Linked DNA regions of Tamandua tetradactyla. The protein of the gene in region 1 purifies or fractionates together with the protein of each later gene. This does not show direct contact. Links are inferred from orthologs where the notes say so. Each region holds a gene or a part of one and is shown in the gene's direction. Other genes may lie near its edges.

What was found. The genes of interacting proteins can lie anywhere in the genome.
Region 2: the proteins of CLCN5 (region 1) and TMEM9 purify together in Homo sapiens (co-immunoprecipitation; 3 studies listed by BioGRID and IntAct, with this or other methods). This does not show direct contact. The link is inferred for Tamandua tetradactyla from reciprocal best matches to the Homo sapiens genes CLCN5 and TMEM9.

What each region holds. Positions count from the first base shown.
Region 1 is NC_135353.1:120,412,311-120,419,571, reverse strand, and holds the start of CLCN5 (H(+)/Cl(-) exchange transporter 5), read left to right. Parts: upstream 1-4,225; 5' UTR 4,226-4,466; intron 4,467-6,584; 5' UTR 6,585-6,725; coding exon 6,726-6,741; intron 6,742-7,261. UniProt on the Homo sapiens protein: Proton-coupled chloride transporter. Functions as antiport system and exchanges chloride ions against protons. Important for normal acidification of the endosome lumen. May play an important role in renal tubular function.
Region 2 is NC_135330.1:58,231,652-58,239,398, reverse strand, and holds the start of TMEM9 (proton-transporting V-type ATPase complex assembly regulator TMEM9), read left to right. Parts: upstream 1-4,724; 5' UTR 4,725-4,833; intron 4,834-5,252; 5' UTR 5,253-5,289; coding exon 5,290-5,364; intron 5,365-6,471; coding exon 6,472-6,563; intron 6,564-7,747. UniProt on the Homo sapiens protein: Transmembrane protein that binds to and facilitates the assembly of lysosomal proton-transporting V-type ATPase (v-ATPase), resulting in enhanced lysosomal acidification and trafficking.

The sequences.
Region 1 (7,261 bases):
AGTATTGTTTTTGCTGTATCCCTAAAGGTTTTGTATGTTGTGTTTTCCTTTTGATTCACCTCAAGATATGTCATTTCCCTTGTGATTTTTTTCTTTTACTAATTGGTTAAGAGTGCATTATTTAATTTCCACACATTTTTGAATTTTCCAGCTTTCCCTCTGTTAATCGATTTCTTGCTTCATTCCATTGTGATCAGTGTAGCTACATTGCATGTTTTCAAAATCTTTGAATTTATGAAGACTTGCTTTGTGACTGAACATATGGTCTATCCTGGAGAATGATCCTTGTGTACTAAAGAAGAATATATATTCTGCTCCTGTTCTGTGAAGTGTTCTATATATGTCTGTTAGGTCTATTTGGTTATTACTGTTCAGGTCTTCAATGTCCTTACTGGTGTTCTGTCTAAATGTTCTATCCATTATTGAAAGTGGTGTATTGAAGTCTCATACTATTAATGTAGAACCACTTATCACTCCCTGCAAAACAGTCAATATTTGCTTCATATATTTTGTTCTCTGTTGTTAGGTGCATATAATTGCCTGGTATGTAGGTTCCACTCTATCAGGTGGCAGCTTCAAAGACTAAACCAGAAAACTCCTCTCTGGTCTACTCTCCCAGAACTTGTCTTGCAGGCAGAAGCAGTGTGTTTGCAGACACCTAAAGCAGTGTAAGAAACAATTAAGTCAAAGTGACCTGGGCAAAGGATTACTTACTTTAAGTTATGCAATATGGAGGGTGAGAAAGGCTATTTCATAGGGAGTAGAGGGGGAATTCTAATTCCTATAAAAGGGGGCATTCCTGAGGTCATGAGCAAGCACAAGTCCAGGACAAGATGCAGGCTCAGAAACCACGGAGAGGACTCTGCAGTTCACATTTGCCTCGGATTGATCTTCTTGATAGGAGGGCTAAACTCAGCAGGAAAGCATTGGCCAGCGGGGAGCCAATTTGCAAAGACTGTGAAAGGTATTTTTGATGTCTTCAAAGTTCATCCATGTAGTGGTACACATCAGAACTTCATACCTCTTTATGGCTGAGTACTACTCCATTGTGCTTACATTCCACATTTTGTTACTCCATCCATGTGTTGATAGATACTTCAGTTGCTTCCACCTTTTGCTATTGTGAATCATGCATTATGAACAGGGTGTATTAATATCTGTTTGTCTGCTTTCAATTCTTTGGGGTGTATACCTAGATGTGGGATTGCCAGGTCATGTTATTTAATTCTATGTTCAACTTTCTGAGGAACAACCAAACTATTTTCCAAACAGCTGCACCATTTTACATTTCCAGCAACAATGTACAAGAGTTCTTATTTCCTCACATACTTGCCAACACATTCAATTTTCTGTTTTTTTTTTTAAGTAATAATCATTCTGGTGGATGTAAGGTGGTAGCTCATATTTTTAAAAAATGTTTTTATTGTAGTAGCATATATACAACTCAAAATTTCCCTCTTTAACCACTTTCAAGTATATAACTCAGTAGATTAATTTCATTCACAATATTGTGCTACCATCACCAGTATTCATTGCCCTAACTTTTTCATCACTTCAAACAGAAACTCTGCATCCATTAAGCAATAAATCTTGCCCCCACTCCCTGACACCTAGTTACCTGCAATTTACTATTTAATTCTATGAACTTTGCTTCTTTTAGGTATTTCATAAAAGTAGGATCATACAATATTTGTCCTTTTGTGTCTGGCTTATTTCACTCAGTGTGACGTCTTCAAGGTTCATCCATGTTGTAGCATGCATCAGAAATTCATTCCTTTTTAATGCTGAATAATATTCATTGTGTGTATACATCCACTTTATTCATCCATTCATCTGTTGACAGGCACTTCAATTGCTTCTACCTTTTGACTATTGTGAATAATGCTGCTGTGACATTATTGTCCAAATATTTGTTCAAATCCCTGCTTTCAGTTCTTTTGGGTATATACCAAGAAGTGGGATTGCCAGGTAATATGGTAAATTCTATTTTCAACTCTCTGAGGAACCACCAAACTGATTCTCACAGTGGCTGCACCATTTTACAATGTCACCAACAATGTATAAGGGTTTTTATTTCTTCACATCCTTGTCAACACTTGTTATTTTCTTTTTTTAAAATAATAACCATCTAGTGGATGTGAAATGGTATTTCATTATGTCTTTTATTTACATTTCCCTAATGACCAATGATGTTGAACATCTTTTCATGTGCTTATTAGCCATTTATATATTTTCTTCAGAGAAATGTCTATTGAAATCCTTTGCTTATTTTTAATTGGGTTGTTTCACTTTTTGTTAAATTGACCCTGTCTCCTTTCTGGTTATTTGTGGCTACCCTTCCACCTCCATCCTATATACACATTATGAGTGCCTGAGAGAAGGGACAAGATTCTACCAGTTGAGAAGGTAAAAATTAGCTTGGAATGAGAATGTAAAATTCGCTTGGCCATTCATCAGGGTAGAATACCAGGCAGATAAAGCCAGCTGCACATTTAACAGGGAACAATATTTCTCCCAAAGACATGCTGCAGCTGTAAAATCATAACTCCTTTATTTGAGTGACTCCTGCTTTTTTAATCACTGAAAAACTTTGCTCTCTAACATTGTAGATTATCAGCAACTGTGCTGTTTGAAATTATATCAGTCAGCATAAAACATCCCATGCTGGTCTGGAGAACATAAGTCTCTTTGACATAGAAAAGCAGCCTCGGTCTCCAACCTAGGTGTAGAGCTTCAGATAGGGCTATCTGGACACAACATTCCACATCTATCTTTACTTCTTGGTTCCCAAGGAAACAGGATTCTGAGTTCACTTCACAGTCCAGACCGGATGTTGACCCCTTTAAACACAGGCCTGCTTTGCTTTTACTAAAACACTGCTTCATTTAAAATTCACCTAAACTCCATTCTTTCACCAAATCTATCTTTTTCTTTTTTGGCAACGCTCCCATGCTTTCTTTGGTGTACTGTCTCCATCACTGCAATGAATCAGGAAGCCCGATTTTGATTGTATTCTATGCTCTTGAGTTACAAGGTTGCTGAGCAGTGGCCCTTTCCAACTTCTTTACCAGTCTGATACTGAGGACACTAATTACCTAGGGACATAATTTTGCGGTACTTTCTGTACAGTTTTTTCCCTTAAAATCTAAGAACTAAAAAGTGTCTGTCAATTATGATGATAATTATATATCTACGTGAATAAATAGAAATCCTGGAAAAAGAAAAAAGAAGCCTGACTTTGCAGGACTACAAGATTTATTCCTGCAGGCCTTAAATTGATAGGGCTTAGGATAAATATTTTTTATTCCTTTGCACTTACCACGTGCAAAGTAGGTACTCAAAAATGTTTGCTGCAATAGACTCTTAAACTAGAATACTTGGGCTCTAGTTAGATTACCTGAATTGATTATATGTATTCCAGTTTCACTCCTGCCAATAACTAATAAACTGATTCATTTTAAGCAAGTCAATGCACTCCGTTTGGCGTGAACTGTTTCTTCTGTAAAATTAGGTGCTGTTTTTCTGTGCCTAGGGCAAGGGCTTTGGAGTTAGATATAGGTTGGAGTTCCCGTTCACCCATTTACTAGTCCGACGACCCTTCCCTTTGCGGAGCCTGTTTTGTAATTATTAAAACGGATCTAGTACTGATAACTGCAGTACGTACCCTGCAGTTTTGCTGTTTGAGGATCAAATTGGCTATTAACAAGCATTACTCTATTTTATCACTATTCCTGTTGCTACTATTATGTTATTTCAGACCAGTTACTTAACCTTTCTATGCCTCTACTTTCTTATGAATAAAAATGGAGAAATAATGGTACGTACCCCATGGGGTTATTGTAAACATAAAAAAATTAAGGGCTTAAAGCAGTGCCTAGCACATGAAGCTCAAAATATACGACTTAATGTTGTTAGTACTATATTTCTACTACTAACTACTCTGTGGGCGAGCAGCTCATGATAAACAGCTTTATTTTTAATAACAAAACCAAAGAAGGCACTGCAGGCTCCAAACAGCGAAACGGGATACAGCATTTCTTTTTCAAACACAATTGACACGCCCACCACTGGGTTAGAGTCGCCAAATCCACATTAAATATGGCAGCGAACAGGGCCGACTACTGCGGTTGCGCACGCAGAAACCCCTCCCAGCTGCTCTCTCCGTCCGGCCTCCTCCTCCCCCGCATCCACCCCCGCCCCCCAACTTGGCGGAGGTGCTGGGTGATGGCTGGCTGTGTCGCGCACGCGCAGACGGCGGCCGTGCTCAGCCGAGACTTGTGAGGCGCCTGTCACATGAGCCGCGCGCCCTCTCCGCTCCCCCTCCTCCCTGGCTGGGTTCTGTGAATGAAGCTCTGCGGGCTACGTGGGGCGCTAGCTCAACTTGGTGTCCAGCACGCCCGAGCGGACTGAGCGCTCGGTCCGCCAGCGGCGGACACCAACCCAGTCGCTCCAGACCTCCGCGACAGGTAAAGACAGATGGGCTGTCCTTTCCCCAACAGGTTCTTCGCGGCGCCGCTGGCCCCCGGCCCATCCCCTTGGACACCCCCGGAGAGCAGCAACAGGGGAAGCGCTCCCCTGCTGGCTCGGCTCCTCCGAGACAGAGATCCCCGTGCCCGGCCGCCGCTGCCTGGCACTTGGAGGAGTTAGACAGGCTAGTTCTAGCCAGTGCGGGGCGGCATCTTCCCGGCAGCCCAACCCTGTCCTCCGAACTAGGGTCCCTGAGTTGCCTGCGCGAAGTTTCCTCGCGAGCGGCGCCAAGCACGCCCGGGTTTTGAATGTGAGAGGTTAGTCGCATGTGTTCCCTTTCCAGGACTGGGGCCGGGTGGCTTTTTCTGGAAGAGGGCGAGGCCCTGTTCTTCGCTCTCCTACTCTGGACTCGCAGGTCTGTGTGGGTTTTTAGCAAAATCACGTCCAAACTTAGGAAAAGTAGTTGCTGTGCGTTTTTCTTTTCCCAGTTGACGCGCGTTAGATGGATCTTCTCCAAACTTTTCGAGGTTTGCGCTTGAGCTCCTATACCCTTAAGGGAAAAGCTTTACCTTTACATTGACGCGCATGTATCTTTATTAATAGTTCAGAACAAATCGGTTTCCTGTAGTTCCAAGTGAAGTTGTGATGTGTGTGTGTGTGTGTGTGTGTGTGTATGTGTGCGCCTGTGTCATAACGTCACTGTAAGCTTCCCGGAGTAAGTGAGGGAAATCCAGATGTTCGGAGCATAAAAAGCCAGTAAGAATCCGCTTTACATAAACTTCATCAATTTATTAACAGCTACCCTGGTTTAACTGCAGAGATGTTAAATTTCGCCTTGTGCAACAAGTACAATCAGTACTTCTTAACTGCATGCAGAATAAGATTAAAAAAAAAAAAAAAAGGCAAACCAAACAAACTGTCCCAGATTGCAGATAAGTCATCCGAGTGCTTTTTCATGGCGAAATCATCCTGGGATTTAGATGAGTTCCTAGTTTTCCTGAACTTCTCGAAACTTTCCTTAACCAAAGCATTGTCCTTTGTCTATCAGTATTTTCGGGAGTATTGTACATTAAATCCTTTGTCCTTAAAAAACAAAAAGTCATGAAAGAAGGCCAAAATGATGATTCTCAAGTTAGTATTCGTCTTAAGTGTTTGTGCTTTAGCGCTGTCACTTCGGGGCCCGAGGTATTAGCTGTATAAAAATTACAGTAATAGCACCCCTACTTTAATGTTCACCAATTCTGAAAGGTGGAGACTTTTTTTTTTTTTAAAAAAAAGCAGATTAGTTTGTATGCTAAATAAGGAAGGCCAATTTATTAAGAACTTGCTTAAATGGACAAGCAAAGTGTTTAATATATTAAATGTCTCAATCACAGTAAAGTACAAACATCTCACTTTTTCTCCTATACTTTTCTCCTTTCATATTCTTGCAGAAAGTACTGTCCTAAGACTGGATTTGAAGTTTTAAAAATAGGAATTAGCTGACTTAATTTGCCTTTCTTAAATTGGTATTTCGTTTTTACATTTTTCTCTTTCTTTGGTTCATTTTCCCCCCGACTATAAAAGCAATATATGTTTACTATAGGAAGTTTGCCGAGTATGGGAAAGTGTAAAGAAGTAGGGAGAAGGAACCACTAGCTAAAAATCATCGCTCTTAATTCTTTATTCTGCTTCCTTTCATTTTTTTCCTATGCAAAATATATCTTAAAACTTGAAGTTCTCATAAAAATTTCTCCCTTTTCTACTGATTGTTTAATGTAAAGTTGGATCTTTTGCGGGTTGAATAGGGAAATGAATATTATACTAGTCTTCATTCCCCAAAGCATGAAACGTCAAGATAGGAAAGACACTTAATGGTTATCACCTCCAACCAGCCACACTTTGAGATCTGAAGATTCAGTGATTCATGTAGAATCTTACAGCACTGAGTGGCAAAATTAACTAACTCTTGGTCTCCTGATTCTGTCTTCAGCAATTCTTTGCTACTTAAGAGTAATGTAACACTGCCTATGTCTGCATCTTTGAAAGAGAGATTCAGAGAGGAACAGAAGAATTTTTCAAGACTTTAAAGTGTATATTTTCACTTAGGTATTCATTTTTCAGTTTTGGACTTTCAGGTTTGGGACATTAGCATCTTCCAGAAAGCAGCAACCACGAAGCTGGTTCCATCTACACCCCATTCAAGTCTCCCTGCAAAACTGGGGTGCTCTTGGAAACTCTGATCCTGCAACCCCAGTGTGGGAGAATATAGGATCAAGATGGCCATGTGGCAGGGTAAGAAAAATTAGCACTTGTATTCCTCTAACTGGTTTTTCCTCCTTCTCTATCCTCCACCCCTAACCTCCCCTTCCGCCCCCCCCCCAAGCCAGTGGCAGACAGCCAGCTGTTTCTTTAATTTAACTCTTTGTCTTGGCAAGGACAAAGCACATTAGTTTAAAAGAAGCTGTTGCTAGCTAGAAGTTCAAATTATTTTAAAGTGAGGGTGGAGGGGTGGGAGGAAAAGTAGCAGGAAAGTTTAGTGCAGAGCATTTTTTTAAAGAACTTTCTTCATTTAAGCATGTACTTTTGGGGTTATATGTGAGGAAATGGAAGATATTTTTTCGTATATATGCTTTTCATTTGTTTCTGGTAAATGTCTATCATAAGCATCTCAGAGGTGGGGGGGGCAATTTAGTACCTCCCCAGCTTTCTCTTCCCGATAAAGACTTTCATGGGGCTTAAGCATTGAAAAAGCACGTTTAATGTTGTAATGTTTATATTTGGTGAATGGGGGAAAATGACTATTTAAATAAAA
Region 2 (7,747 bases), on another chromosome or scaffold:
TGTATTTTTTGCTTTCTTTTTATAGTTTCTCTTTTACCCGTGTGTTTTGGTTTGCTAAAGCTGCCAGAATACAATATACCATAAATGGATTGACTTTTACAAAGGGGATTTATTAGGTTGCAAATTTATAGTTCTTAGGCCATGAAAATATCTGACTTGAGTTATCAACAAGATGATACCTGGACTCAGAAGAAAGGCCATTGGCATGTAGAACACTTTGTCAGTTGGGAAGGCATGGCTGGCACCTGCTCGTCCTTGCTCCTGGTTTATTGCTTTCAGTTTCTGATTCCAGGGTTCTCTCTTAGGTTCTTTGGGGCAGACGCTAGATTTCATCTTTTAGCTTAGCATGTCCTGGGGCATTTTCTGCCTCCAAACATCTGTGCTTTCTAAGAAATGTCTCTTTCTTAAAAAGCTACAGTAAGTAGATTAAGACCCACCTTGAATGGGCAGGGTCACATCTCCATGGAAACAAACCACCCACAATAGGTGTGCCCCCACAAGAGTGCATATAAAGAACATGGCTTTTCTGGGGGTACATAACAGTTTCAAACTAGCACAGCATGGATTATTCATGCTTATTCATCTGACAGAGGTGTTCTGGATAGCATCAGCCTTTCTTGAGTGAAGGTAACCTCTTGTTGGTGGCTTAATTTGGACACTTCCACTTCACTAGAACTGTAAACTGGTAACTTATTAAATTCCCTTTTTAAAAGCTGTTCTATTTCTGGTGTACTGCATTCCAGCCGCTTAATAGACTAATACAGGGGGTAACTGCTTAAGGCTCATGGCCTCCTTTCTCCATTGTCAAAGCTAGCAACATAGCATCTCTCTAACCCTGCTTCTGTCATTGAATCTGACTATAGCCAGAAAAGATTCTCCATTTTTAAGGACTGGTGAGGTTACATTGGGCCCACCTGTGGCATAATTTTATTCTTGGCCTGGTGGCTTAGTCTCTTTCTCTCCCTCCCTCGCCATTTTGGCACGTCCAGTTCTTCTAGACCTCTGAATTACAGGCCTCGCCGGCGACTAGTGATGATGCAGCCTTGTCTCTCTAACCCTATTGGTCTTCTCCTTAGTCCTCCACCTACCCAACATCCACTGCTACAAGTACACTCAGGAACAGCATCTCTATGGTCACAGTCACTCATCCGTCCTCCCTGTGTGATTGGCTACCCTCCCCTGGAGGCCACGCCCTAACTCCGCCTCTCCTCAAACTGTATATAATCCAGGGCTCGTCAAGCCTCGTGGTCTTTAGCTTCTGGCGGCCCTGGCATAAGCATCTACCAACAATAAAGCTACCTCGCTTCATGCCTTAAATGACTCGGCCTCCAGTCCTTTAGACCCGCAGCGAGGTCTCCTGCACGCGCCCCTTGGACCCAGACCCCCGGCTCGAGCCCCTTTTCTGCGTGCGGCAGTGTCGTCTGGCAAGCAGTGAGAAGCTGAGGAGTAGAGGGTCCCCGATAGTTTAGCGGTTGGCCCAAACCGCACCCACCCAGATAAATCAGAATAATCTCTCCATCCCAAGGTTAACATAATCACATCTGCAAAGTACCCCATGCAAGGCAACATATTCACAGGTTCTGGGGAGTAAGAAGCAGATATCTTTGGGGAGCCATTATTTTGCCTACCACACTGGCCCATCTCAAATAGCCCCCAACTATTCCCTAAAATTCCCTTTCTACCATTTCAGACTCTTCTAGCTCTTGGTCTCCGTCTCCCATAGGCTTTTGCAGGGTGTGTCCACAGCTCCCTGGTCTTCTCCAGGCATAGTTCATACAGTTCTTATAATCCTGAACTGTAATTGCTTATTGATTTGTCATTTTCCTGAAATAAACCTTAAGTATCATGAGAGCAGAGACAGGCTGTATCTTGTTTACTTGAAAAACATTTTGGGGACAAAAGAACCGTTCTATGACATAACACTTTTTACATTAAATTATATTACAACCATATCATTTCTCCTGTAGTAGACTACGCACTTCTTGAAAACAGGGTTCACATGTGGCTTGTCTGTTGTAGTCCTGGGGTCACCTAGCATGGTGTATGGCTCATAGACAGCATTTGGCACATGTTTTTGGAGTTGATTTGGATGAATAGATTCAGACATATCTCAATGGCTTCTCAAACACAGGGCATGTGGGGAACACGTGGGAACAAAGTACATGGGTCAAGTAGGACTACCTGGGAAGGTTCTGGAATAGAAGTGATTGGGGCAGAAGCTTGAAAGAGATGAAAGGTAAGGATTAACAGGGCTGAGGGAGTGATGGCCTTCCATAGAGGGCTAGTATGTGCAAAGTCAAATGTGGGAGGCAGCTGGAAGAGAGTAACCAGAGATGAGATGGGGTGGGGAGGGTTATCATGCAGCCAGGCAGAGAGGTCTGGATTTGACATGACAGGATGCTAAAATGGACTACTGAATGACAGAAGAGGTGCTGAAAACAGGCTTGGAGGAAGACAGGAAGGATGGAGGAGGACATAGGAAGGGAGTATATTTTAGGAAGCAGAGAGCGAGCTCTGGAAGGATGAAGGCAGCATGACAATGGCTGCCTCTTGGAGACATCCAGATAGACTAGATGTTGGGATAGGAGAAAAGAACAATCAAAGATAATCTGACGCCACAATCTGAGAAATGTTAGATGATAGTGCCATGAGGACCCTGGGTGGCCTTATCTTTAAAGGGTATATTTAGTGTTGGGTGTCAGAGGCCCACCCATTGGAGGTAATTACCCAGTCACATCCTTGGAAGTTCCCCCACCTCTACAGAGGAGGTGTATGGGAAGGCAGGAGGGTGTTTTCCGGTGCATGAGCTGTCACTTCTGCTCCCATGTTGTAGGCATCATTTCTCAACACCCCAACAGTCATTCTGACCTCTAGAATGAGCTGACTTTTGCATTTATGGGGCCCCCCTCTTTATCCAGACACATATATGTGTGCTGGTTTGAATCTATTATGTGCCCCCACAAAAGCCATGCTTTAATCCTGACTCAATCTTGTGGGAGCAATTCTGATTCAATCCTGATTCAATACTATAGGGCAGAAACTTTTGATTAGAGTATCTCCACAGAGATGTGGTCCACCTAATTGTGGGTGTAACCTTTTGACTAGATGGAGATGTGATCCACCCATTTCAGGTGGGTCTTATTAGTTTACTGGAATCTTTTGAAAGAGGAAACACTTTGGAGAGAGCCGACAGAGAGTAAAGCTGACAGAAACTTCAAGCCCAGAGCTGACACAGATGCCAATACTTGGAGAACAGAGACACAGATGTTTGGAGATGCTTGGGGCCCAGCAGATGGCACTATTACATGTCAAGCAAGCTAGAACCTGGAGCAAGCCAAGGGAAGCCAAGAGATGAAAGCCAGCCCTGAAGAAGTAAAGTGAGGATCTCCCATAGGAACAGAGGCTGAAAGCAATGGAGCACAGGTGCAAGGGACCAGCAGATGCCAACCATACGACTTCCCAGCTGACAGAGGTGTTCCTGACCCATTAGCCTTCCTTAAATTAAGGTATCTTTCCTGGGTGGCTTAGTTTGGACATTTTTGTAGGCTTAGAACTGTAAATTTGCAACTTATTGAATTCCCTTTTTGAAAGCCATTCCATTTTGGATGTATTGCATTCTGGCAGCTTGCAAATAACATGGTGTTACAGCAACCTGTAAGCCAAGTAATATCGCCCCATTTTATGGATGTGGAAATTGAGTCCCAACCATCCAAATTCGCACAACCAGGAAGGGAGGAACCTGGACTTCACCCTGATCCTTCTAGTTCCAAAACCCATGAGCTTTGTGTCACTCCTTAGTCCTCCTGCCCTCTCTCTATCACCCTCGTTTTAATTTAATTCTACCCTGTTCAGTTCAGCAAACATTTCCTGAGCAACCACCAAGTTTAGGGGACTCTGCCAAGTGAAGAGGATATAAAGGTGAATAAGATACAAATTCCACTACCTTCAGAGGCAGTACCTACTACAGCACATCTGGATGGGGCTGCATTCCACCTGGACCTGACCTGTGTGCTGCTTCTGGCCCCCAAATTCAAATTTGGATCCAATTAAACCACCCCCCAGGAATCCCAGAATATCAAAGCTGAAAGGGAATCTTAGTCCAGTCAACTTGTTTTACATGGAAGGAAACAGAGGCCCAGAGAAGGGAGGTGTCTTTTCCAGGGTAAAGCAGCTGTTTAGTGGCAGAGCCAGGCAAAACCCAGGTGCTCTTTCCTCCACAGTCGGCGGGAAGTTCACATCTGCCTCCCAGCAGCCTGGGATATCTTCCCCCAATTTGCCTGGCCCAGAACCAGCTTGGAACAGGTGGATCAGGCTAATGGGACCCAACAAGCCACTCCTGCTTTCTTCTTCCACCTCAGGCGTATGTATTTGTGTGTCTATGAATAACAATTCCAGATTGTGAATAAGGACGGAGCCCTTGTGTCTGTTTTTATCATTACTGTTGCTGATACTATTTCACGGTTTATAAAGTGCTTTCTCTTTAACACAGCCAGACGGAGCAGGCTTAGCCTCTCTCTGAAACTCGATCCTCACAATTTAAGAAGGGGCGAAGCACCGCAGAGGGATTTTGCAGGTCATATATGCAAGACCCTTCCCAGTTTCCACTTGGGAAGTTTGACGTTCCCTTTTCTTGTTTGCTCGGGTTTGAGAAATTGCTCGCTCTCCCTTGCGCGAGCCTCCCCGCCCAGCGAGGGTGGGTCTTATCGCCTTGGCGATAGCGGGGTCGAGAGGCTGCTCTAGCAGCCAATAGAAGCCGGAGGGGGGCGGGGCCAGCTGGATCCTCTGTTGCTGGAGCTGGACTCGGAGGTTCACGGACCCCAGTTTGGGGAAGAGGTGCGGGGGCTTGCGGGATTTCAGGGGTCCAGCCTGGCCCAAGACCCCTGGGATGAGGGCTCCCAGGCTTTGCATCCAAAGTTCCCGTCGGCCCTGAGCGGGGAGGAGCTGCGGGGCGGGTGGAGATGGCGGAGGGCTGTGGGGCGCGCTGCGAGGGTCAGAGGTGGGCCTTGCGGAGGCGCTCAGGCCCCGGACGGCCCTGTCCCCGTGAGACCCCGTCCACAGGGCGCATCAGGTGGGCAGTGGAGAGCGGGAGACTTGGGAAAGGCGGCACTTGGCTAAGGGTCTCTGGAGGCCCTGGAATCCCGGATCCCAGTCCCCACCCCTATTCCCAAGTCCAGGCAAGAGGGTTAGGGGCCTAGTGTGGTGGTCTGTGGTGGGACGCCCACCTCTTCCCCGACTCCGTATCTCCTTTCCAGGTGACCAGTATTGCTGTCATAGCGAGCCTGAATAAGCATGAAGCTCCTGTCCTTGGCGGCGGTGGTCGGGTGTTTGCTGTTTCCTTCAGCTCAAGCCAGCAAGGTGAGGGAGGTGAGCCGGTAGTTCCTAGAACACGACCGCCCTGCTGGCGGGGCCACCCCACAGGTAGCCGTTTCTCAAGCCCTGCCTCTCATTCACCTCTGGGGCCGTGCTTTTCGCCCTGTTCCCTCAGGTGCAAGGCTGCAGACTTCCCTAAGGTTAGCAGGTGTGGTAAAGAAACTTGTGGCAGGGATGGTGCACATGAGACAGGCCCAAGGTGGAATTCCAGCTAGGAAGTTTGGGTTTGGGGGAGTTATTTCAGTTCTTCTTTGCTCCTATGTACAATGAAGGTGGTTATAGTATCTACTGCTCTACTTAGGAAGAATCAAATTACATAATGAAGTAAAAATGCTACATTTTGATGTACAAGAAAGTATATAGGCTATACAGATGGAATTTTCTATTAGTAAGTGTGACCAGTCTGAGTGCTGAGCTCCCTGAGTTAATTCTTTAGGGGTAAGAGAGCTGGAGTTGGGTTTGGGTGGGTCCATGGAATTTGAGATTCTGAAGATCACAAGTCTTTGAAGAAGGGTGACTCTCAGGATTGACTTGCTTTTACCTTCCCCAGGGGATGTTCCTTATTAGAATACTGTGGTGCTATCTCTCTTACCCTTTCCAGAGGGGAAGAACTTTCAAAGGAGTTGCTTGAATATTCTCTTGAAAATGATACACTTTCTCTCACTTACCCCTGCTCTTTTCCTTCCCCCAGTTCTAACCTAGGAAGTTGTAGATGGAATGCATTGGGGGGAGGGGGTCTAGTGTTCGAGCCTGCTGGACAGAGATGTACTTACAGATGTGGGACCCAGGCTGTCAGTTTGCGTGTTGTGCCTCCTGCTTCACCCTTCTCCCACCCTCTCCCCTCGTCACGCACCCACTTGAGGAATGGTAATACTGGACAGCTTTCTGTGTATCCCATTTGCCACTGGACAGTTTCTGTCTTGAGGGCCCTGTGATAGAGCATCCTTTCTAACAGAAGTCATTTCTTGCTGAACTTGGGAATATAGAAAGATCAAGTTATACAAGCATGGTCGCCTTACAGAACAAGGAGCCAAAAGTTGGGAATCTTGCTAGAACAGAACCCAGGGGTCCTGCCTACCTAATCTGAGTTTTCTCTTCTAGAGCTCTGAAGATATCCGGTGCAAATGCATCTGTCCACCTTATAGAAACATCAGTGGGCACATTTACAACCAGAATGTGTCACAGAAGGACTGGTAAGACATTGCATGGATGGCCCTTGGCTTCTAATGATGTGTGAGGTGTTTATAGGGTATTTGGAGCCTCTAGAGGATAAACGTGCTCTCTCCATTCCTGTGGAGAGCCTGCAAAAGGAATATTTTGTTCATGGTCATGCAGCTAATTAGAAACAGAACCCACATGTCTTGAATTCCAGCTGAGGAGTTCCTGGTCAGAGGAATGGATTTTGTTCTTTTGCTTTGAATTTGGGTCTTCATTGATGTAGGAAAATTGGTAGTAGGGAAGGTGGAATCAATGCTCTGTGCAATTTTTTTGCATGGGCAGGCACGGGGAATTGAACCCAGGTCTCCCTCCTGGCAGGCGAGAACTCTGCCTGCTGAGCCATCATGGCCCACCCAATGCTCTGTGCTTTTTCAAAGCCCTGTTACATGTTATTCTATTTCAGTCTCCTTGTAAGGTAAGTGGTATGGGTATGGTTCCCATGTTTTAATTGTAGAGACTGAGCCCCAGAGAGAGAATTTAAATTGTACTCCTGAAGTCTTAATTCATTTCCCAGTGTGTCACTTTATTTATTTATTTATTTTTATTTATTAAGCATACCAACATACAAACACAAACATTCTTACCATATGATCATTCCATTCTTACTCACAATATCATCACATAGTTGTATATTCATCATCATGATCATTTCTTGGACATTTGCATCAATTCGGAAAAAGAAATAAAAAGAAAACAAAAAAGTTCATACATACCATACCCCTTACCACTCCCTTTCATTGATCACTAGCATTTCAATCTACTTGAGTCCAGCCTGCCTGACTTCAGATCTAGCTTTGCTGCTTGTTAACTGTATGACAAATTATTTCATCTCCAAAGAATTTTAATTTCCTCATTTGTAAAATGTTGGCAATATTTTAAGTATTAAATAAGTGCGTGTTTGTGCATGCTTGCACATAAGTACAGCACTTGGAACAATGCCAGGTACATAGTAAGTGCTACACAAATGTTAGCTGATATTATTATTAATATACTATCATCACATCACTCCTTACCAAAGAGGCCACATAGTGTCAGACTTGCACCACAGCCCCAGAAAGTGTGGACTCTTTCTACAGCATTAGACTTTTTCCATCTGCTTTCTAAAAAGATTCACAAAATCATAAGAGAGGAAGTCCTGGGAGGAGCCCCTGAAACTCCC